Arabidopsis thaliana: one gene and its partners. The protein of the gene in region 1 interacts with the protein of each later gene in a pairwise test. Each region holds a gene or a part of one and is shown in the gene's direction. Other genes may lie near its edges. The genes, in order: SR1, UAP56b, NDPK2 and AT2G40620.

Evidence for each region.
Region 2: the proteins of SR1 (region 1) and UAP56b interact in a two-hybrid assay, tested with the Arabidopsis thaliana proteins (one study listed by BioGRID).
Region 3: the proteins of SR1 (region 1) and NDPK2 interact in a two-hybrid assay, tested with the Arabidopsis thaliana proteins (one study listed by BioGRID).
Region 4: the proteins of SR1 (region 1) and AT2G40620 interact in binary tests that used the Arabidopsis thaliana proteins (3 or more experiments, as listed by UniProt).

The regions. Positions count from the first base shown.
Region 1 is NC_003076.8:312,649-317,165, reverse strand, and holds SR1 (serine/threonine protein kinase 1), read left to right. Parts: upstream 1-1,760; 5' UTR 1,761-2,414; coding exon 2,415-3,743; 3' UTR 3,744-3,976; downstream 3,977-4,517. UniProt on the Arabidopsis thaliana protein: CIPK serine-threonine protein kinases interact with CBL proteins. Binding of a CBL protein to the regulatory NAF domain of CIPK protein lead to the activation of the kinase in a calcium-dependent manner.
Region 2 is NC_003076.8:3,565,235-3,571,532, forward strand, and holds UAP56b (DEAD/DEAH box RNA helicase family protein), read left to right. Parts: upstream 1-1,940; 5' UTR 1,941-2,018; intron 2,019-2,135; 5' UTR 2,136-2,154; coding exon 2,155-2,267; intron 2,268-2,484; coding exon 2,485-2,585; intron 2,586-3,043; coding exon 3,044-3,216; intron 3,217-3,319; coding exon 3,320-3,551; intron 3,552-3,630; coding exon 3,631-3,749; intron 3,750-3,918; coding exon 3,919-3,961; intron 3,962-4,080; coding exon 4,081-4,116; intron 4,117-4,200; coding exon of another isoform or gene 4,201-4,241; coding exon 4,242-4,339; intron 4,340-4,435; coding exon 4,436-4,492; intron 4,493-4,585; coding exon 4,586-4,770; intron 4,771-4,875; coding exon 4,876-5,020; intron 5,021-5,106; coding exon 5,107-5,190; intron 5,191-5,285; coding exon 5,286-5,349; intron 5,350-5,441; coding exon 5,442-5,452; 3' UTR 5,453-5,781; downstream 5,782-6,298. Other genes in the region: SHN2 (Integrase-type DNA-binding superfamily protein), read left to right, coding at 328-817; GLR2.5 (glutamate receptor 2.5), read right to left, coding at 5,997-6,298. UniProt on the Arabidopsis thaliana protein: ATP-dependent RNA helicase involved in pre-mRNA splicing. Required for the export of mRNA out of the nucleus. In addition to ssRNA and dsRNA, binds dsDNA, but not ssDNA.
Region 3 is NC_003076.8:25,371,394-25,375,908, reverse strand, and holds NDPK2 (nucleoside diphosphate kinase 2), read left to right. Parts: upstream 1-2,004; 5' UTR 2,005-2,070; coding exon 2,071-2,310; intron 2,311-2,490; coding exon 2,491-2,547; intron 2,548-2,692; coding exon 2,693-2,779; intron 2,780-2,999; coding exon 3,000-3,080; intron 3,081-3,174; coding exon 3,175-3,287; intron 3,288-3,376; coding exon 3,377-3,426; intron 3,427-3,719; coding exon 3,720-3,787; 3' UTR 3,788-4,005; downstream 4,006-4,515. Other genes in the region: NPX1 (nuclear protein X1), read left to right, coding at 35-165, 255-1,496; AT5G63300 (Ribosomal protein S21 family protein), read right to left, coding at 4,134-4,515. UniProt on the Arabidopsis thaliana protein: Major role in the synthesis of nucleoside triphosphates other than ATP. The ATP gamma phosphate is transferred to the NDP beta phosphate via a ping-pong mechanism, using a phosphorylated active-site intermediate. May activate MPK3 and MPK6.
Region 4 is NC_003071.7:16,953,892-16,959,193, reverse strand, and holds AT2G40620 (Basic-leucine zipper (bZIP) transcription factor family protein), read left to right. Parts: upstream 1-2,010; 5' UTR 2,011-2,321; coding exon 2,322-2,782; intron 2,783-3,575; coding exon 3,576-3,708; intron 3,709-3,800; coding exon 3,801-3,885; intron 3,886-3,965; coding exon 3,966-4,390; 3' UTR 4,391-4,776; downstream 4,777-5,302. Other genes in the region: AT2G40630 (Uncharacterized conserved protein (UCP030365)), read right to left, coding at 1-372, 494-581, 693-752. UniProt on the Arabidopsis thaliana protein: Transcription factor that may participate with bZIP34 in the gametophytic control of pollen development.

The DNA.
Region 1 (4,517 bases):
CATGGACCTCGTATATTCCATTTTTTTAATTCATTTTATTTATGTTTTCTTTTGTTAATTACTTCAGAAGTTATTTATGGTCATATATATTATATCGTTAAATTTTGTCGTAAAAATGGGTTATATGGTCACATTAATCTTGCATGGGACCAAAAGTAACAAGCTAAATTAATAATGTATTCTTTTATTTTGTTTGTCAACAATTAATAATGTATTCAAAATCAGTAGATATTTTGATTGGAGCAACCTTTCGAACCAACGAAAGAAAAGGGGCAATTATATAACCATCCATTTTTATTGACAGAACCTTGATTTCGTAATTATTTAACGAGCTTCTTTCCTTCCTCCTTCTCTTTTTCCCCAACGAAAGAAGCTTCCATGAAACAGCATCAGAAAAAATCAAAATTAAAAACAAATGAAATCTTTCGTACATCACATTATTAACGCGGTAATTTATTTTTATTTTATTCCCGTACATGTCTTTTAATGGATTTATATATATTAAAAAAGATGTTGATTTGGTTTTATGTGAATACTGTAGTACTAATTTATGCCTACCAAAAAAAAATAGTACTAATTTATGTGTGGCTTGGATTTATATATATGTACAAATGGGCACAGCGTGACAGCGAAAATAGTAACGTACGATTTATCTAATCTTTAAAACGTTGTGTGTTTTGGATAAATTACAAAAATAATTAAAATTGATTTTATATTTTGTTGTACGCTGCGGTGGGTAGATCACGTCGTAGATTTACTATAAAAATTGACACTGCAAAATTTATCCTCTTTTTTTTGGTATTAAACTTTAACCAAAACTTCACAAGATTATAAAAGCCTTGCACTCTAACAATGCAATGCGATGATTTCTAAGTCGTCAAATGTTTAAGTCTGAGGAATTGGGACATAATTAGTGTGATTGTGGGTAGTGATCATACATGGAACTAATACATCTTTATAAAATTATACTGACTTTCCAACTTAGCTAAGTAAGAAAATAGTAACTATTAAAAAAAAACAATGAGATAATGTTAAATATTAATCAAATTTGTTTTTCTTTTTTATTTTGGGCAAAAGTTATTTTTTCAAGCGCACTGTTTGTACTTTATAATGTGAAACATATATTGAAAATAATCAATTGAAATCTTAAATGTAGTCATATTTCTTTTTTTCAAAAAGCATCAAATAGATCAATTTGCCCATAAGACTCGATTTATTTTTCCACGAATATGGGAAAAAACAACTGGAGATTTTTAAAAAGGAATGACATATGTTTTCCAAATGTATTAACTAATGATTCCAACATAAGCAAATATATTTTCTAAAAATAGTGAAATAAACAACTGTGAAATGTATACAAAAAGCATGAAATATATTTTCCCAAGTATTGTTTAAATTTGATAAATAATTCAAGTTATTTGGAACAGTGATGGAGTGGAAAAATAAACATAAGAATCATAATTAAAAATGAACGTAGAGTTTAGATAGTGATTTGAAAAGATTAAGGAAGATTAGGAAATGACACTAGTTATAGGACGATTCCAACCTTGAGCAGTGGGGCGGGAGTTGTAGTAACCTGTCAACCGCAATATATAGCCTGGTGCTCAAAATGAGACTTGAACTAATACTAATAAGGGGAATTTGGATGTTCAAAGGACTTAACCACGATTGATGACTAAACAAAGCAGTGGTTAGCTGAATTACTAACTAACTAGAGCTAGCTGCCTAGGCTAGTCGAAAGAACAATTCTCCGTTTTGAGTTGACCATAAAATAATAATATTCAACAATATTGGAGGAAACATGTTTATATGTTCTTGTAATAATAATATTATAGCAAATAGCCGAAGATACGACGAAGCGTATATGTGTGAAATGAGTATATTCTACAGCCTAAACCCTCGGAGATACCAAATCAACACGACAACAGCGACGGGACACCTGTATGGTTCTAATTCAACTTCTTGTCCACATCTTCATCTTCTTCTTCTTCTTTTTTTAATAGATATATTAAGAAAACAAAACAGAAAATCTCCCACGTCTTTACAAAGAAAATAAAGAAGAAGAAAATAAGGAAAAAGAATCTGATAGTAATTGACAAAAATACCCTCATCTCCTACCTCAAGACAGTAATATATATGTAACAACTCGATACAGAGCATGGCTTATCTCTTATCCGAATCCTCCCAATTTGTCTGTCTCTCTTTTGTTTTCTCTGCTAACAGATCTCTCTAAATATCTGTTACTTTTGTTCATATCTTTTTACTTTTCAAACTACTAATTTTCCTTTCGCTTCTTCTATTAATAACAACACTCTCTCTCTCAGACTTCTTTTCTTTTTTTTCTACGGCGTTGATTCATTCGCAATGACCTCAGTTTCTGTGTACCATAATTGACCTAGCAGATTCTGTTTTTAATGGTAGATTCTGACCCGGTGGAATTTCCGCCGGAGAACCGCCGTGGACAGCTCTTCGGCAAATACGAGGTCGGAAAATTGGTGGGATGCGGCGCCTTCGCGAAAGTGTACCACGGGAGGAGCACAGCGACGGGTCAGAGCGTTGCGATCAAAGTGGTGAGCAAGCAACGGCTGCAGAAAGGAGGACTCAATGGCAACATTCAGAGAGAGATCGCTATCATGCACCGTCTGCGCCACCCTTCTATCGTGCGCCTGTTCGAGGTCCTCGCCACCAAATCCAAGATCTTCTTCGTCATGGAATTCGCCAAGGGCGGTGAGCTATTCGCCAAAGTCTCCAAGGGCAGGTTCTGCGAGGATCTTAGCCGTCGTTATTTCCAGCAGCTCATCTCCGCCGTCGGATATTGCCACTCCCGCGGCATCTTTCACCGTGATCTCAAACCGGAGAATCTCCTCCTCGACGAGAAGCTCGATTTGAAGATCTCTGATTTCGGACTCAGCGCTCTTACCGATCAGATCCGACCCGACGGCCTCCTCCACACACTCTGTGGTACGCCGGCGTACGTGGCGCCTGAGGTTTTGGCGAAGAAAGGGTACGACGGTGCTAAAATCGACATATGGTCATGTGGAATCATACTGTTCGTCCTCAACGCCGGTTATCTCCCTTTCAACGACCATAATCTCATGGTTATGTACCGGAAAATCTACAAGGGAGAATTTCGCATTCCCAAGTGGACCTCACCGGATCTCCGGCGACTGCTGACTCGGCTTTTAGACACGAATCCGCAGACGAGGATCACTATCGAAGAGATCATCCACGATCCATGGTTCAAACAGGGCTACGACGATCGGATGTCTAAATTCCATCTAGAGGACTCCGATATGAAACTCCCGGCGGACGAGACCGACAGCGAGATGGGAGCAAGGAGGATGAACGCATTCGACATCATCTCAGGATCTCCAGGGTTCAATCTCTCCGGTCTTTTCGGAGACGCCAGAAAGTACGACCGAGTGGAACGGTTCGTGTCGGCGTGGACGGCGGAGAGGGTGGTGGAGAGGCTGGAGGAGATCGTGTCGGCGGAGAATCTGACGGTGGCGAAGAAGGAAACATGGGGGATGAAGATCGAGGGGCAAAAAGGTAACTTCGCAATGGTGGTTGAGATAAACCAGCTAACGGACGAGCTGGTTATGATAGAGGTGAGGAAGAGACAAAGAGCCGCTGCATCTGGACGAGATTTATGGACAGATACACTCAGGCCTTTCTTCGTCGAGCTTGTGCACGAATCAGACCAAACGGACCCAGAACCAACTCAAGTACATACGACGTCGTAGTTTAGGTATCTGTCAAATAAATTATCCAAATAATAATTAAAAAAAAATATCCCGGGTTATATGTAATTGCTTTTTTTTTTACCCGGAGAATATCTCTGACATAATTATTCAGGAAATTTCTCGACAAATCTTAATTTTTAGTTGGCAAGTATGTATCTTCTTGTTATGTAATCATAATTATATTTTATATAAATGAAAAATAAAATATAAAAAAATGTATTACTTGTTTTAAATGGCCACTATAATACATTAGTAACGTATCGTGGATGTGAAGTAATGCTATGTGTACAAGACACTCTAACTTAACCATTACTTAAGGATTAGTTAACTATTCAACATGATATTTAACATACATATAGATGTAATTTTTAACAACTCATAAAACACAGTCTTCTTCTGCTATTAATTTTGTCATTATGTAAAAAGAAGTGTCAAGATTTGAGCCATGAACTAACACAACTGATCTACTTTCACCTTTTTGATAAGTAAGAGGTTGTCCTTATCACATCATTGTAAAAATATACTATTAAAATAGATATATAGCTAGTGGACTTTATATAATCCTATCGCATGTGGCTGTGATATAAGATCATACACCAATAATTCTCATCAATCATTTTCTTTTCTTGGTATCCACATTGAATCCAATCATCCATAATCCATTAATTTCAGCTTCAGCAGTTATAATTACTGTAATCAACATATATATCACCTTTTCAATGCAATAATTGTAGGCTCCACGATCTATATATTATCCAATTTACTATATACACA
Region 2 (6,298 bases), 3.3 Mb from region 1:
AACAATCTACAAAATATTAAAAGGAATTAAAAGTTAAAACCAACCATGCATGCTAATCAAAGTTAAGTTATCGACTGATTTTCATCTACTTGATTCTTTGATTATTTTTGTAAATTAAATGTGGTAATTTCTAAGGTTAGTTTGGATTTCAGCTCAAAACTTAATTGAAATGTTTACTTGGATTTTGTAACTAATATAAAAATTACTAAAATCCTTTTTTAACGTGAATGTTATATGATACCAAAACGTTAAAAATTATATTTCAAAATTCATATCATCATATGTAGTGTATTTAGTATTTACACGTGTGTGTGATATATTAATCAGGAAGAGAAGAGTGTGGCTTGGAACTTTCGAAACGGCAGAAGCGGCTGCAAGAGCATACGACCAAGCGGCTCTTCTAATGAACGGCCAAAACGCTAAGACCAATTTCCCTGTCGTAAAATCAGAGGAAGGCTCCGATCACGTTAAAGATGTTAACTCTCCGTTGATGTCACCAAAGTCATTATCTGAGCTTTTGAACGCTAAGCTAAGGAAGAGCTGCAAAGACCTAACGCCTTCTTTGACGTGTCTCCGTCTTGATACTGACAGTTCCCACATTGGAGTTTGGCAGAAACGGGCCGGGTCGAAAACAAGTCCGACTTGGGTCATGCGCCTCGAACTTGGGAACGTAGTCAACGAAAGTGCGGTTGACTTAGGGTTGACTACGATGAACAAACAAAACGTTGAGAAAGAAGAAGAAGAAGAAGAAGCTATTATTAGTGATGAGGATCAGTTAGCTATGGAGATGATCGAGGAGTTGCTGAATTGGAGTTGACTTTTGACTTTAACTTGTTGCAAGTCCACAAGGGGTAAGGGTTTTCATTGTTTTCCGGTTTTTAATATTTTTAAAAAGTTTATTATGTGATGGATTTCCTTTATTTATCGATTATACATGTAAGAAAATTGTCAAAAATACATGTAAAAAAATGTAATATATACAGATTTGTATTTTTTTGTGTGATGAAAGTATACATGCTTGTTGTATTGATTGATATAAAAGATTGTTCGATTTAAGTATTCTCTTGTTTTAATTAATGGGCCTACAATTTTGTTGGTCCTTCAAACACAAACATATATACATATACATTTTTGCAGCCACTTTGTAAAATAAACCTCAAGTTGAGACTTATTTACAGTGGCTGCCACTGGCATTTAATAATTATTTTTGATAATTAGAAAGTAAATCTTCGAATTAAATATTTGACATTTAACTATATTCCCAAAATCTCTCTACATTAACTACACGATTAGTTACTAAAATAAAACTTCCAAAATATTTAACATCATTTAAAAATTACAAAATTATCATTTTTGATATTGCTTTTTTGCATGACTATAACAATTCGATTATACGCATCAACCCACAGAGATATTTGATAGCAATTAATTATTACAAAATTACAAAATATTTAGACAATGATTCATAAACATATCATAAATAAGATCAATATTAATAAAATAAATAGTTTTTTTTACGGGACGGATTGGCGGGACGAGTTTAGCAGGACGTAACTTAATAACAATTGTAAACTATAAAATAAAAATATTTTATAGATAGATACAATTTGCAAACTTTTATATATACTAACTTAAAAAAAAAATATTGTCCCCTGCGGTATAAGACGGGTTAAAAATCTAGTTGTTATTATTAAAGGAAATAAAATATCCTCATAAAACAATTTGTTGTAATCTATCTTTGGGCTAATGTTCTTATCCTACAAGACGAACCCTGACCGTATTCGTCGTAGAAAAAAAATTGCTTCGATCCCATCATTGAGTTCAATAATCGGCGCACAAAGGCCGATTCATAAAAACTCTAGGCCCATTAAAGTAAAGCCCATTCTCAACCCTATCCAGTCTCCCTGTATATATATATTTACGACACCAACCCAGCGTTGATATTTAATTTTCTTCAGTCAGAGATTTCGAAACCCTAGTCGATTTCGAGATCCAACTAACTCTGCTCCTTATCTCAGGTAAAATTCTCGCTCGAGAACTCAATTGCTTATCCAAAGTTCCAACTGAAGATGCTTTCCTACTGAATCTTAGGTTAATGTTTTGGATTTGGAATCTTACCCGAAATTTCTCTGCAGCTTGTTGAATTTGCGAAGTATGGGAGACGCTAGAGACAACGAAGCCTACGAGGAGGAGCTCTTGGACTATGAAGAAGAAGACGAGAAGGTCCCAGATTCTGGAAACAAAGTTAACGGCGAAGCTGTGAAAAAGTGAGTTTTATGGTTTCCTCGATATGTTTCATGTATACTACTGTGTGTTTAAATTTGTCGATTCTTAGATTACTACTTGATAACAAGTAGCAGTATGTGTTTAATTAGTTGCTTAACATATAACAATTGACTGAGTTCTTCATTGCTATAATTCCTGAAACCCACCCAATATTAGACTGTCGTGTGTTTCTCATATTGTATTTTCTCTTTGTGACAGAGGGTACGTGGGAATACACAGTTCTGGATTCAGAGACTTCCTTTTGAAACCGGAGCTTCTCAGAGCTATTGTTGACTCAGGATTTGAACATCCATCTGAAGGTAATTACCAATAAAAATTCAATTTTGTTGCCTTTCACCATTCTATTACTGAATCTGAATGATATGGTAGAATTTACAGAAGTTTCTTCTCCATAAGCTTTTTAGGTGTCCGGAGACTTTTAATTATATGTACTTCGTCTAGTTTTGAGAAGATATGTTGGTTTAAGATATTTTACTTTATCTGGGTCCCTTGCTTATCACCTAACTAAGTCCAAAATCCAAAAGTTTTGTGTTGATTATAAGGTTAAATTCTTCTTTAGTTTCCTGTAATAATTTTTTTTAGTTTTCTGTCTATTAACGTTTCACTGATTACTTTTTCCAGGTAATAAACGCTAATTTCGATCTATTGATTTGGAGTGAGCTTAACATGTGCTAAAGCCACCAATTTAAAAGATATGGAGGTTATCATCTACTTATAAAGGGTTTCTTCGGTGCTATTTTCTTTGGTTCTCCACCAGTGCAACACGAATGTATCCCTCAAGCTATCTTGGGTATGGATGTTATCTGCCAAGCAAAGTCTGGTATGGGGAAGACTGCTGTGTTTGTCCTGTCTACTCTACAACAGATTGAACCATCTCCTGGCCAGGTTTCTGCACTTGTCTTGTGCCATACAAGAGAGCTAGCTTACCAGGTATGACCTTCTTGTTTCACTCAGGTTCTTGGCTTATAGTCGTGTTTTACGTCTTCAAGTTCTCTAATGCTTACTATGCCTTGATGCTGAAAATTACTTGCAGATCTGCAATGAGTTTGTGCGATTCAGTACCTATCTGCCTGATACAAAAGTTTCGGTGTTCTATGGTGGAGTCAACATTAAAATTCACAAAGACTTGCTGAAGAATGAATGTCCTCACATTGTTGTTGGTACCCCTGGTCGAGTGCTTGCACTTGCCAGGGAGAAAGATCTCTCTTTGAAGAATGTGAGGCATTTTATTCTTGATGAGTGTGATAAAATGCTCGAGTCACTTGGTATGCTGATTTCTGACATCATTATTACATCGATCCCTGAATAATTTTATGTTTTAACACTTCAACTTGTCTTTACCAGACATGCGAAGGGATGTGCAGGAGATTTTCAAGATGACTCCTCATGACAAACAAGTAATGATGTTCTCAGCAACGCTCAGCAAAGAGATACGCCCAGTCTGCAAGAAGTTTATGCAAGATGTAATGTTCCATGGCCAATTCTCTCTCCCTTTGCAAGTCTTCTAGTTTTCATCTATTTTTAGCCTTCTATGGGTGATCATAGCATTATTTGAGCATCTTCTGCGGTTCTGCCCTTGAAAAGCTGAAACTGATCTCTGGATGGGTCTCAATCCAATAATGCTTTGGGTAGTTTCTAGAGAACGAGACTGTGAGTGTGAGACTCTTTAGCTTTGGTATGGTTTCTATCGGTGATCATAGCATTATTTGAGCATCTTCTGTTGTTCTGCCCTGGAAAAGTTGCAACTGATCTCTGGAAGGATCTCAACCTAATAATGCTTTGGGTAGTTTGTAGGGGTTGAGAACTCTGAGTGGAGACTCTGTAGCTTTGGTATGATTGAGTGACCGTTGCACAACAGGATTTCCTTTCATCTTAACCTTTTATTCAGTTTCAATTTCTTTGAAAATCTAGCAGTGGTGGGTGGGTTTTGGGTCGGGGTACTGTGTTTTCCCAAGGTTTCATCGTGCTCGTATGGGTCTCAATGTTCCGAGCAATATTGATGTTTCATAGCAAAACTCACATCTTTGAAGAGAAAAGGTGGACGAGGATCTCAGTTCAGGGGATCTCCATCCATCTTCACTTTTGTAGTGTAAATCATTTCCTGAGGAAAGCTAGCTAATACTTCTTACCTGGTATCTGTTCCTTTCAGCCAATGGAAATATATGTTGATGATGAAGCCAAGTTGACTCTTCATGGACTTGTCCAGGTACGTTTAACTGGTTTGAGGTCTTCGTATTCAATGTAAATATATGTTGTTGTTTGATACTTAAGTGACCTTTTTTCTGTTCTACTGTAACAGCACTACATCAAACTGAGCGAGATGGAGAAAAATCGCAAGTTGAATGACCTTCTTGATGCGTTGGACTTCAATCAAGTTGTCATTTTTGTGAAGAGCGTGAGCAGGGCTGCGGAGCTGAACAAGTTACTGGTGGAATGCAATTTCCCCTCAATATGCATACACTCTGGCATGTCTCAAGAAGAGAGGTTTGTACATTCTCTTAAAAATTCAATGTTTCTGAAGGACCCTACCTGCTCTTAAAGCCCTCATGGAGAGTCCAATTCTTAAGCCTAATACGATATGTTATGTAGGTTGACTCGATACAAAAGTTTCAAGGAAGGGCACAAGAGGATCCTTGTGGCGACTGACTTGGTAGGAAGAGGGATTGACATAGAGCGTGTCAACATTGTTATCAACTATGACATGCCAGATTCTGCGGATACCTATCTTCATAGGGTAAGTATATAATCCTGAGATTTATTATTTGATCGTTGATGAAAGGGCTCTTGTAACTTTACCGTTTTGCTGTGTGTATGGGATAGGTTGGGAGAGCTGGTAGATTTGGAACCAAGGGTCTTGCAATCACATTTGTTGCATCTGCTTCAGATTCAGAGGTCCTTAATCAGGTATGGTGTTTGATCTTTTAATAAATTCCATGGAAAAAGTCCCCATGATATTGAGTTGGGTATTTAGTAAAGTGGCAAGTATAAATGTTGGACAGGTTCAAGAGAGGTTTGAGGTCGATATAAAGGAGCTTCCTGAGCAGATTGATACATCGACTTACAGTAAGTTTTAAATCCCATTACTAAATGTGAAAAAGGCTGGTTTTGTCTGGTATTGATATTAACTTAGTTTCTTCTTCGTATTCTTTGCTCAGTGCCGTCTTAAACAAGTAGCATCATCTCTGAGGAACGAACCTCTTCAGATTTCAACCTTTTAGGTGTTCAAAGGGGTCATGGAGGTCCACAACTATCTCTCACACCGTTTGTTGCTTCGCTATTTTAGACTTTTCTATGAGGACAAGTTTTTCCATATATTTAGACCGTTTTGTAACTCTTGAAAAATGAGATTGAGCTACTCTCCAAATCGCGCACAGTTGAGAGCTCTCCTGTTTTTTGTACTAGTGATGGTTATCTTTAAAATATTAAGATTTCAGGATTTATTCTTTGGCTTGATCATTGATTAAATGTTCCTAGTGAATTGATCTAGTTTGATGCAAAGCGAATATTATTGAATGTTGATAAGAATCCTGAACGTAAATACCGTCTTTTATGCTGACCAATGAACAAATATTTCATGTAATAGTAGTAGGTAAGATTTAAGTTTGCATCAGTCTATCTTAGATACATTTAAACATATTTGAGAAAAGGATTCCTTAAATATTATGATTATGCAATCTAAACAGTGAAAGAAATCTAGAGTTTAGGTTTGACTATGCTGACTTTAGCCTTGATAGTGGCGCAACTCTTCTAATGGGTATAGTGTTTGAGGTCAGTTTCTTACGACGGACCAAAGCTGTGTCGACTTCCACAATATGATCTCCAACATTACCTTCTTCATTGACTTCTTCTTGAGCTGCATTGGCTTGATCATTTGGTAGATTGGGTGAAGCATTGTGTTGTCTCTCTTGGTATCCTCTAGAAGCCAACATGAGTAAGAGTAGAATCACAGAAACAACAAAGACGATCAGAAATAGAGCTTCAAAGCTGTGGTGGTCGAGCTGGATTGGAGAAT
Region 3 (4,515 bases), about 25 Mb from region 1:
TTATTTTTAATTCTTGCGATTTCCGTTTGATTAGAAAAAGAACGGTTACAAGCCGAGGCCAAAGCAGCTGAGGAGGCTCGGAGAAAAGCCAAAGCAGAAGCCGCAGAAAAAGCGAGGAGGGAAAGAGAGCAAGAGAGAGAAGCTGCACGTCAAGCTTTACAAAAGGTATAAAAGACTTTTCGAGTTTCTCTTCTATTATTCAGAGCCCTACCATGGTGTACAATCATGATAAATGACTTTCTGGTCTGTTGCAGATGGAAAAGACAGTGGAGATAAACGAGGGCATACGGTTTATGGAAGACCTCCAGATGCTTAGAGCTACAGGTACAGAAGGTGATCAATTACCGACTTCCATGGAAGTGATGAGTCCCAAGTTTAGTGAGGATATGTTGGGTTTGGGTAGTTTCAAGATGGAAAGCAACAGTAATCCATTAGAACATCTAGGTCTGTATATGAAAATGGATGAGGATGAGGATGAAGAAGAAGACCCGCCACACTTTAGCCAGAGAAAAGTAGAAGACAATCCCTTTGACAGAAGTGAAAAACAGGAACATAGTCCTCACAGAGTAGAAGGAGAGGATCAACTCGTTAGCGGAAATGAAGAGCCGGTGAGCCAAGAGGCACATGATAATGGGGACCAAGAAGATGGAAAACCCATAAACCCAAATGAAATAGAACGACAACTGGAGAATATGCCAGAGCAAGAAAGTGGAGTTGGTGACAAGGAAGAGCAAGAAACTGAAGTTGTCGATATGAGAAAGCAAGAAAATGAAGTTGTTGATATGGGAGTGGAAGAAGTACATCCCCTTGACCGAAGTGAAGGGCGTACACTCAGTCCTCACAGAAAAGAGAGAGAGGACCCACGTGCTAGCGGTAATGAAGAATCGGTAAGCGAAAAGGCACAAGATTATGAGAACCAAAGAGATGAAAAAATCAATCAAAGCGAGAGAGAAGAACAATTGGAGAATGTGCTAGAGCAAGAAAGTAGTAGAGATGATGATACAGGAGAGCAAGAAACTGAAGTTGTCGGAGTAGGAAAAGAACTTTCCCTTGACAAAAGTGAAGGACAAACACTTAGTCCTCACAGAGAAGAGGGAGAGAACCAACTCGATTGTGGAAACGAAGAACTGGTAAGCCAAAAGACACAAGATAATGGGAACCAAGAAGATGAAAAATCCATCAATAAAATTGAAGGAGAAGAACAATTGGCGAATGTGCCAGAGCAAGAAAGTAGAGTTACTGAAAAAGAAGAACAAGAAACTGGAGTTGTCGACTTGGGAGAGCAAAAAAGCGAAGTTGTCGAAAAGGGGGTAGAAGAAAATGAAGCTGTTGACAATGGTGAGGGAGTGCAAGGAACTGAAGTTTCGGACAAGGGAGGAAACGAAACTGTAGTTGATGGCAATGGAAAGGTAGAAACCGAAGTTGTGGACAAGGCAGGGCAAAAAACTGACCTTGTTGACCAGGGAGAGGAAGATATAGATGTAGAAATTGATTGATGAAGTCTTTTTTCCGGGTCTTGTTAAAAGCAACAAGATGAAAAGAAAAAGTTGGGGATGTTTACGCATTGATTCTTCTATGCACAAAATGTAAATTTGATGTGGCGTGAAATGGCTAAAGCAAGCAAAAGAAAGGCAAAGCCAGATACATCTAGAAGACAAGACGATGAGTCTGTATTGCCTATTTTTCAACGTGACTCTGTTGACAATGATTCTAAATCGACGAAAAAAGAAAAAGAAAAAAACAATTTTGCTACAAGAAAGATGGTTTGGTTTGGTATTAAAGCAGCAAATTGTGCGACTGTTGAAATGTGCAGACTTTTGTTTTTTTTAATCTTTTAGAAGAGTAAACTGTACAGGGAAAGAGAAAGAGTCTGTTTCCTCCATTTAAACGAGACACTCTTTGTACTCGAGATCACTTTTTAAATTACTTCTGAGCACTGATACTTTTTGATTGATCAACTAAACCCAAATTATCTTCGCTTCTGGATAAAGGGTATTTATGTCAATTAACTTTGTTCTTATAAGATGATGATGCGAAGACACTGAGAGAAGCTAAGACAAAGCGCAGAAAATGGTGGGAGCGACTGTAGTTAGTAAATGGACTCCCCTATGTGTGGCTTCGCCGCCGGAGAGAAACTCGGCAAGTCTCAATCCACACTGTTCTCCAGCCAGGGTTAATTTTAGAACAGCGTTGGCCGCATTTCGTCCTCAGTTCCGTCTTTTCTCTCGCAATTCCGCGTCTCGCCGCCGTCTTCGCGCTTCCAGCTCCGCCGAATCGGGAATCTTCCTTCCTCACCTTGTAGCTTCTATGGTTTGTGTGCTTCCCCTCCATTTATGCGAATTACTTTGTTTTCTTAGTACTTACATTGATTAAACTCCGAAATCAGGAATTTAGGATTCAAATTAGTTTGGATATATTCTAATTTGATGAATCTCAATGCAATTTAGTGACCTTTTGATTGTTCTTACGTTGTTTTCTGTATTGTTTCAGGAGGACGTTGAGGAGACTTACATTATGGTGAAACCTGATGGCATACAACGAGGCCTTGTAAGCGTTTTTGCTTTTCATTTTTTTTCTTCTTCTGATTTTGAGGTTAAATTATGTATCTTGGAACTCTATGGAGCTTTGAATGTTATTTCATTACACTATCTTGGCTTAAATTATGAATGTATGATTCATTTGATGTTCTTAGGTAGGAGAAATCATTTCTCGCTTTGAGAAAAAGGGGTTTAAACTTATTGGGCTCAAGATGTTTCAGTGCCCAAAAGAATTGGCTGAGGTTTGACACTCACTCATTACATCAGTAGTTTGATAACTTTAGATTGCTTCTTAATGTGATATAACTAATAAATCATTGACAAGTATCGAGAAATTGAAGCCTGATCATGACTTGCATATTTCACTTATTCGCTACATTTGCGTAAGATGACGCTGCCTCATTTTTTTTTCATATTCGATTGACATAATTAATATTCTTGTGTGTTTATCTCAATTGCCAGGAGCATTATAAGGATCTTAGTGCTAAATCATTCTTTCCTAACCTGATTGAGTACATCACTTCAGGTCCAGTTGTGTGTATGGTATGGGTATAACTATGCTCTAATTTGATTTTTACTTGTTTTCAAGTTGTAATTAGATGAGTTAATTGCATGTGATGTTTTAAACCTGGTAAAGGCTTGGGAAGGTGTTGGTGTTGTTGCTTCAGCCAGGAAGCTAATAGGGAAAACAGATCCGCTTCAAGCTGAACCTGGTACTATAAGAGGAGATCTTGCTGTGCAAACCGGAAGGTTGGACTTCTATCATCTTTAAAATTGTTGGAAGTAAGCACTTAAAATAATTCTCATGGTTTGATATTTTTAAATTATGCAATTTGCAGGAACATTGTGCATGGTAGTGACAGCCCTGAAAACGGCAAGCGTGAGATTGGTGAGATTTCTTGTTTTTTGTTCAAATCATTCACCCATCTTTCATTGTTGAGACATTGACTATGTCCAGTTTAGGGGCAAATCAACGTGGTTCAAACTGCTTCAAATTAACTTGATAACATAACTAGATTAGATCATACTTGATTACTGAAATTGTTAGGTTCAATATATCTGTTTTAAACCATTACTATCACTTCTTCATTTACTTAGTTTGACCAATCACTCTCATTCCTTAGTATGCTAAACTTTTAGTTTTCATTTGCTGACATTTTGGCTCTTGTGGTTGTGGCATAGGTCTGTGGTTCAAAGAGGGCGAGCTATGCAAGTGGGATTCGGCTCTAGCTACATGGCTAAGGGAGTGATCCTTGAGAAGACAGAGTCAATTATAATGGTGTCCTTACTTGTTTTCTTGTTACCGATGATGAGCTTTGGTGTTTTGTTCCTGATTTTGGGCGGCAATATAATATAACTGCCAATCTATGGCTTGATTCTTCTCATATCTGTGATCACTTGTCATGTAATCAAAACTAGTTACAGATTCATCTGCATTTGGTTCTACGTTACAGACACCTCCAAAATCATTCATCTTCACTCTACACCGAGCAATGAAAATTTTCTAATCTCAAGCTAAAAGAACATACAAAAGAGTGGCTTTACAAAACGCAGATGCTGCGTGATTAAGATTGCTCAGATCAGTGTACCGGAATATCATTCCGGTTTACTTCTAAGACCGGTTGGTATATGGAATCTCAATGTCCTCAGGAGGAAGTTCCCAGTGATCGTCTTGTTCGTCTTCTCTGGATGCATTTCTGTTGTGCTTGCGGATCTCTGAAGTTGATAGTGGTTTTGGTTTAGGGTTTGGTCTCCTGTAAAATCAAAATCTATTGACTCAACTTCTCCAAGTGTTTTTCGAAAGAAAGAAGAAAAAGTGAAAAAAAAATCTGACCTTTTCCGATACTTCTTCGCAGCTTCTTTGGTCTTCCGCGTCTTCTTCTCCAGAGAGCTCTCGAAGAAGCGTCGTCTTCGAGATTCCTGCAACACACCCGCTCTGAAACACGACCTCTTGAAATCGTTAACCAGCTGCTCCTCC
Region 4 (5,302 bases), on another chromosome or scaffold:
CACGTTGACTTACAACAGATTCAGTAGTCTCCCTCGGTTTCAAGAGGCTAATATTCTTAACAACACGACACTTACTATCATCTGTTTTTACAGTATGATTCTCAAGCAAAGCCTGTTTTCCAGAATTAACAACGCGTCTATTATCATCTGTAGAAATTGACTTGGCCTTAGGCAAGTATGTTCTCGTCTCAACAGTTGAGGAAGGTTTTATATCTTTAGACAAAACATCATTTTCTCTAACTACTCTTCTTATACCTTCAGCATCAGGAGCCACAAGCACTTTAGATACTTTCGACAACTTCTCACTACTAAGATTTGGTTGCTGAACACTATTACTGTTTCCATGAGATTGCAAACTACTGGTTTTCGCATCTGTAACATAATTATAAAAAAAGTAGGAAACTTTTAACAAATCATCCGAAAATTCAGTGATAAAGATCATTTCTAACAATCGAATTCGACCATTCTAAGTAAAAGAAAACTCGAGAATTACCAGAAGCCAGATCTGGGACTTTCACACGTTTAGACCCTAATTCATCTTTCTCATCTAATCCATTTCCGTTACGCTTCTCGCCAGAAATCTACAAAATTGGGATAACCCCAGAGACGAAGAACACAAACCCATAAACAAATTGATAAAATTTGATGAAGAACCGAGAAAGTCATCGGGAAAGCCAAAAGAAGCAACAAACCACAGAATTCGATGCAGGTTCCGACACAACACCAGAGGAAATTCCTCTCTGTTCCTCCATTTACACACCAGAAAGATCTCTCTTTTCCAAAAACCCAGATGTCGAATCCACCCAGAAAGAGTCCACACACAAACGAAAACGCAACAGTTTCTTCTAAACGGGTACACACATAAGGGGATTCGAGAGCAAGCTTTGAATAACTAAGATTAGGTTTAGATAAATTGTGTAGAGGAGTGAGGTGAGGACGAAGAAGAAAGTATATTTGGGGATAAATCGATGAGAGACAGAAGAGAAAAGGGATTTTGAATTCAAATGGTGAAGTGTTGAGGTTTTGTTATAAAGGAGAGAGCTTCCTCGTTTTTTCGGCCGCTAACCTTTGAGCCTTTTATATTCTCGAAATATCATCAAGTAGGGCTCTTTCGTCAATTTCACTAATTCTCTAATTACTAATGTCTTTTTCACTTTTACTCCCACCAAAACTCACTTGTTCATATTTTACCCCACACATTTACAAATTATTATTTAGAGAAATTACATATGTATATCAATCACTATATAAGATTTTAGTATTTACTAAAAATGCCAAGAACAAAAAACTTCATTCATTTTATAAGATTTTAGTCTTTAAATAGATGTGAAATACAACAAATCTAAGTTTTTTTCTGTCGTTTACGGTGAATTTAATTATTTAGATTTTTGATTATATTATTGATATAAAAATCTACTAAGCATTTTATATGTAACGATAACGACAAAATAGTAAAATACATATTAGTCTAAATTTTGTGTGTGTATATATATTGATATTGATTGAATCGGTTTTAAAATTGGTTAAGCTAGTTTTTGGATGTAGAATGGTTTTGGAAAGTAGTTTTAGAAGCAAATGTGTTTGGATCGTATTATGTTTCCTAAAGTTCGTATATATTAAAAAAGTTATAAAGGCTTATTTACTATTTTTTGTGAAATGTCTAAAATAACAAAAAGTTTAATGTATTTCCTTTTATTTATTGAATCCAAATCTTCAAACGTTTTTTTTCCAATGTTCTACACATATGATAAGATGCCGTTGGTAACGAACTTTTCGCTCCAAATTTTCAAAAAGTTTTCTAACTATATTTTCACATAAACCCGCGATAAAACATTACTAAAATTAACTTTGAAATTTAAGTAAACATTCTAATTTGGATCTATCAATATTTTTTATAAATAGCTAAAATGAAAATAATATTAAGCTTTATACACAATATTTTATGCGATTATTTTGTTTTAGTAAAAGATATTTAATGAAAAACAAAAATATTGTTGAACAAGGAATTGTAATTTATATGTTTCTATGTATATGTGAATAAGATCAAATGTAAAAAGAGAAGTATATGATTTGTGTGATCAAAAGACAGCTTGAAAGTTTGGATAGACGAAAACAAGGGTTAAAAAGATAAAAGATCTCACAAACGACGCTGTTTTGGAGCCTGTTCCGTGTTTTTTTGTGGCCATCATCATCACCTTCGGACACAACGTGATATCTGAATCTCTCCCTCTCTCTCTCTCTCTCTTTCGCTGTCCGATTCCGACAGATAGACAGAGGGCGCGAAACAGAGAGAAAATAAGAAGAAGAAGGACGATCCAGATATGGAGGATCCTTCTAACCCACAACCAAACCAGAGCAATCTCTCGCAATGCCCGCCTTTAGCCACAGCTCCGACACCTGCGCCAGTTCGTGGTCCGTACCACCGGAGAGCACATTCGGAGGTCCAATTCCGTCTCCCTGAAGATCTGGATCTCTCTGAACCATTCGGAGGATTCGATGAGCTTGGATCCGAAGATGATCTCTTTTGCTCATACATGGACATTGAGAAACTTGGATCCGGATCCGGATCCGCATCCGATTCGGCTGGTCCTTCTGCTCCTAGGTCTGATAACCCGTTTTCCGCTGAGAATGGAGGTGCGGAGGCTGGGAATTCGAGACCTCGACACAGGCATAGCCTCTCCGTTGATGGCTCTTCGACTTTGGAGTCAATTGAGGCTAAGAAAGCTATGGCTCCTGATAAGCTCGCTGAGCTTTGGGTCGTCGACCCTAAAAGAGCTAAAAGGTTTCATCTTTAATCCCCAAACGTCGAGAATTTTGTTTGATATGATTGAAATCTAGTTCCTTGTTTTATGCTTTTGTTTACAATTCGTGGGGAAGAAAGGCAGTTTCTTTATGACCTTTTATTGATGAATATGTAATCTTTTGATGTTGATGTGATGCATTAGTCATTAGGTGTTCTTTTGGAGATCTTTTTGTTTTTCTTGGTTACGTGAGTACATCACCTTTTCTTTTTGACTATGATCTCGAATCTCAACGATAACTGATTTTTAACTGAAATTTTAGTTATAGCTTCTACTATGCTGCTTTTTTATTTTAGGTCTTTCCTGCTGAGAGAGAGAGACCATGAGGGACCCATAAGTTTGCTTTTTTGTCTAAATTCCAAGTTGAATTCTGTGAGAATGTGTCTCTTTCATGATGATTTTATGGCCCCCAACTAATTTTTTTTTGTACTAGCTTTTGCTTGATTGGTCTGTTCAATTCCTGTTTGGTTAGAGATCATATTTGATGATGTTTTTTTGTGTGGTATGGCTTTCAAGATGATCCCTTTTTTACATTCACTTTTAGTAGTCAACTGTTTGGAATTGGAAATTATAGTTTCAAGTGACTTTGGTTCAAATTGTTTGGGAATTAGCTTTGTGTGAGATCTGATCTGTGTCAATAGGGTTAAGGGTGATCTAATGTAATCTCTCGGATGATTCTTTGGTGATGGTCACTATTAATTGCATGACTGTTCTTGTGACTTTTATTAATTGATGCTCCAAAGTGTCTAATCCTGTCTCATGCACTCTGTGCAGGATAATTGCTAATCGACAGTCTGCTGCTCGTTCGAAAGAGAGGAAGGCTCGGTATATCTTGGAGCTCGAGAGGAAAGTTCAGACCTTGCAAACTGAAGCTACTACCCTTTCAGCACAGTTGTCTTTGTTCCAGGTTTCTTATACATTCTCCTTCTTTGCACATTTTTCAGTTACTGCAATAACATTCAGTTTCTCATCTACGGCCTAATAACTTGCTTCTTACAGAGAGACACAACTGGTTTGTCATCTGAGAATACAGAGCTCAAGCTTCGTTTACAGGTCATGGAACAACAAGCTAAGTTGCGAGATGGTATGGATTAATCTCTCAATCCCTCACTTTATATGATTATTTGGGGTTTAAGGTCGTTTACTAATGAGTTCCCTCGGCAGCACTGAACGAGCAACTGAAAAAGGAAGTTGAGAGGCTGAAATTCGCCACGGGAGAAGTCTCACCCGCGGATGCTTATAACCTCGGAATGGCACACATGCAATATCAGCAACAACCACAACAATCCTTCTTTCAACATCATCATCAGCAACAAACCGATGCTCAAAACCTGCAACAAATGACTCATCAGTTTCATCTCTTCCAGCCTAACAACAACCAGAACCAATCTTCTCGCACAAACCCTCCCACCGCTCATCAGCTTATGCATCACGCTACTTCTAATGCCCCGGCTCAATCTCATTCCTATTCAGAGGCAATGCATGAAGACCATCTTGGCCGGTTACAGGGGCTTGACATTAGCAGCTGTGGCAGAGGCTCAAACTTTGGTAGGTCTGACACCGTCAGTGAAAGCAGCAGCACTATGTGAGGCTGCCTTTCCCAGATTCCCCTTTGTCGATAAACCTATTCTTTCGCCCTCCCTTGAAATCTTTAGCTAAAAAGTAACATCTTCGTGACAGTCGGATTCATTTTTTATTCTGTAAAACTGGTTTTTTGGGGGGTTTTGGGGTTTCAACTTTAGAGACCACAGTTGTTTTAACTTGTCTGATTTCTCATTTCCTGATTCATCTTGTTCTCCTGGGGAGCTACTGAATTATAAACAGATCATATTTCTGTTTCTTTATGTTGTCATGATTCCCTAGTTGCTTTCGTCAATCATCCCTATGATAGATGGTTGAATTTGGATTTGGCTTTGGCTTGAACCAGATCAGAAAGTGTTTTGTTTTGCAGGTCTCCTAGCTACATCACTTTGTGTTATTTTCATTTCCAGTAAATTGGATTTGTAGGAAAATTTCTATTCGTTGGGCATGGAATTGGCTACTTTTATAGTTCCACATGTACTTTTGCTTCAAGCACAAGGTTCTCAAGATAATTCCCATTAGAACCCTAACGTCCGCACTACAAAGCACAAACCAAACGTAGTTTCGTTGGAACATATGGAGATTTTGAAAAACCCACTTAAGCTAATTAGAAACTAGAGGAGGGTTACGTGTTAAACCGGGTCAAGACACAAATTACATGAACCAAACTAGCCATGTTGAAGCCACTTATAAGGTGCCCTAACTACCAAACAACAAAATTAAATACTCACATGAGAATCTCTCAACTATATCTTGAGAAAAGCTCAAGAACAATTGAAGTTTATTTATCTTGGTGTCGGCTCTTAGAAGTTGGGTCATTGAAATGACGTTCTCTCTTTGGACATAACCATTTTTCAGGCACGTAGTTATGGAGAGTCCCAATAGTTTTGGGGCAACAAATAGACAAAAACCTTGTGATG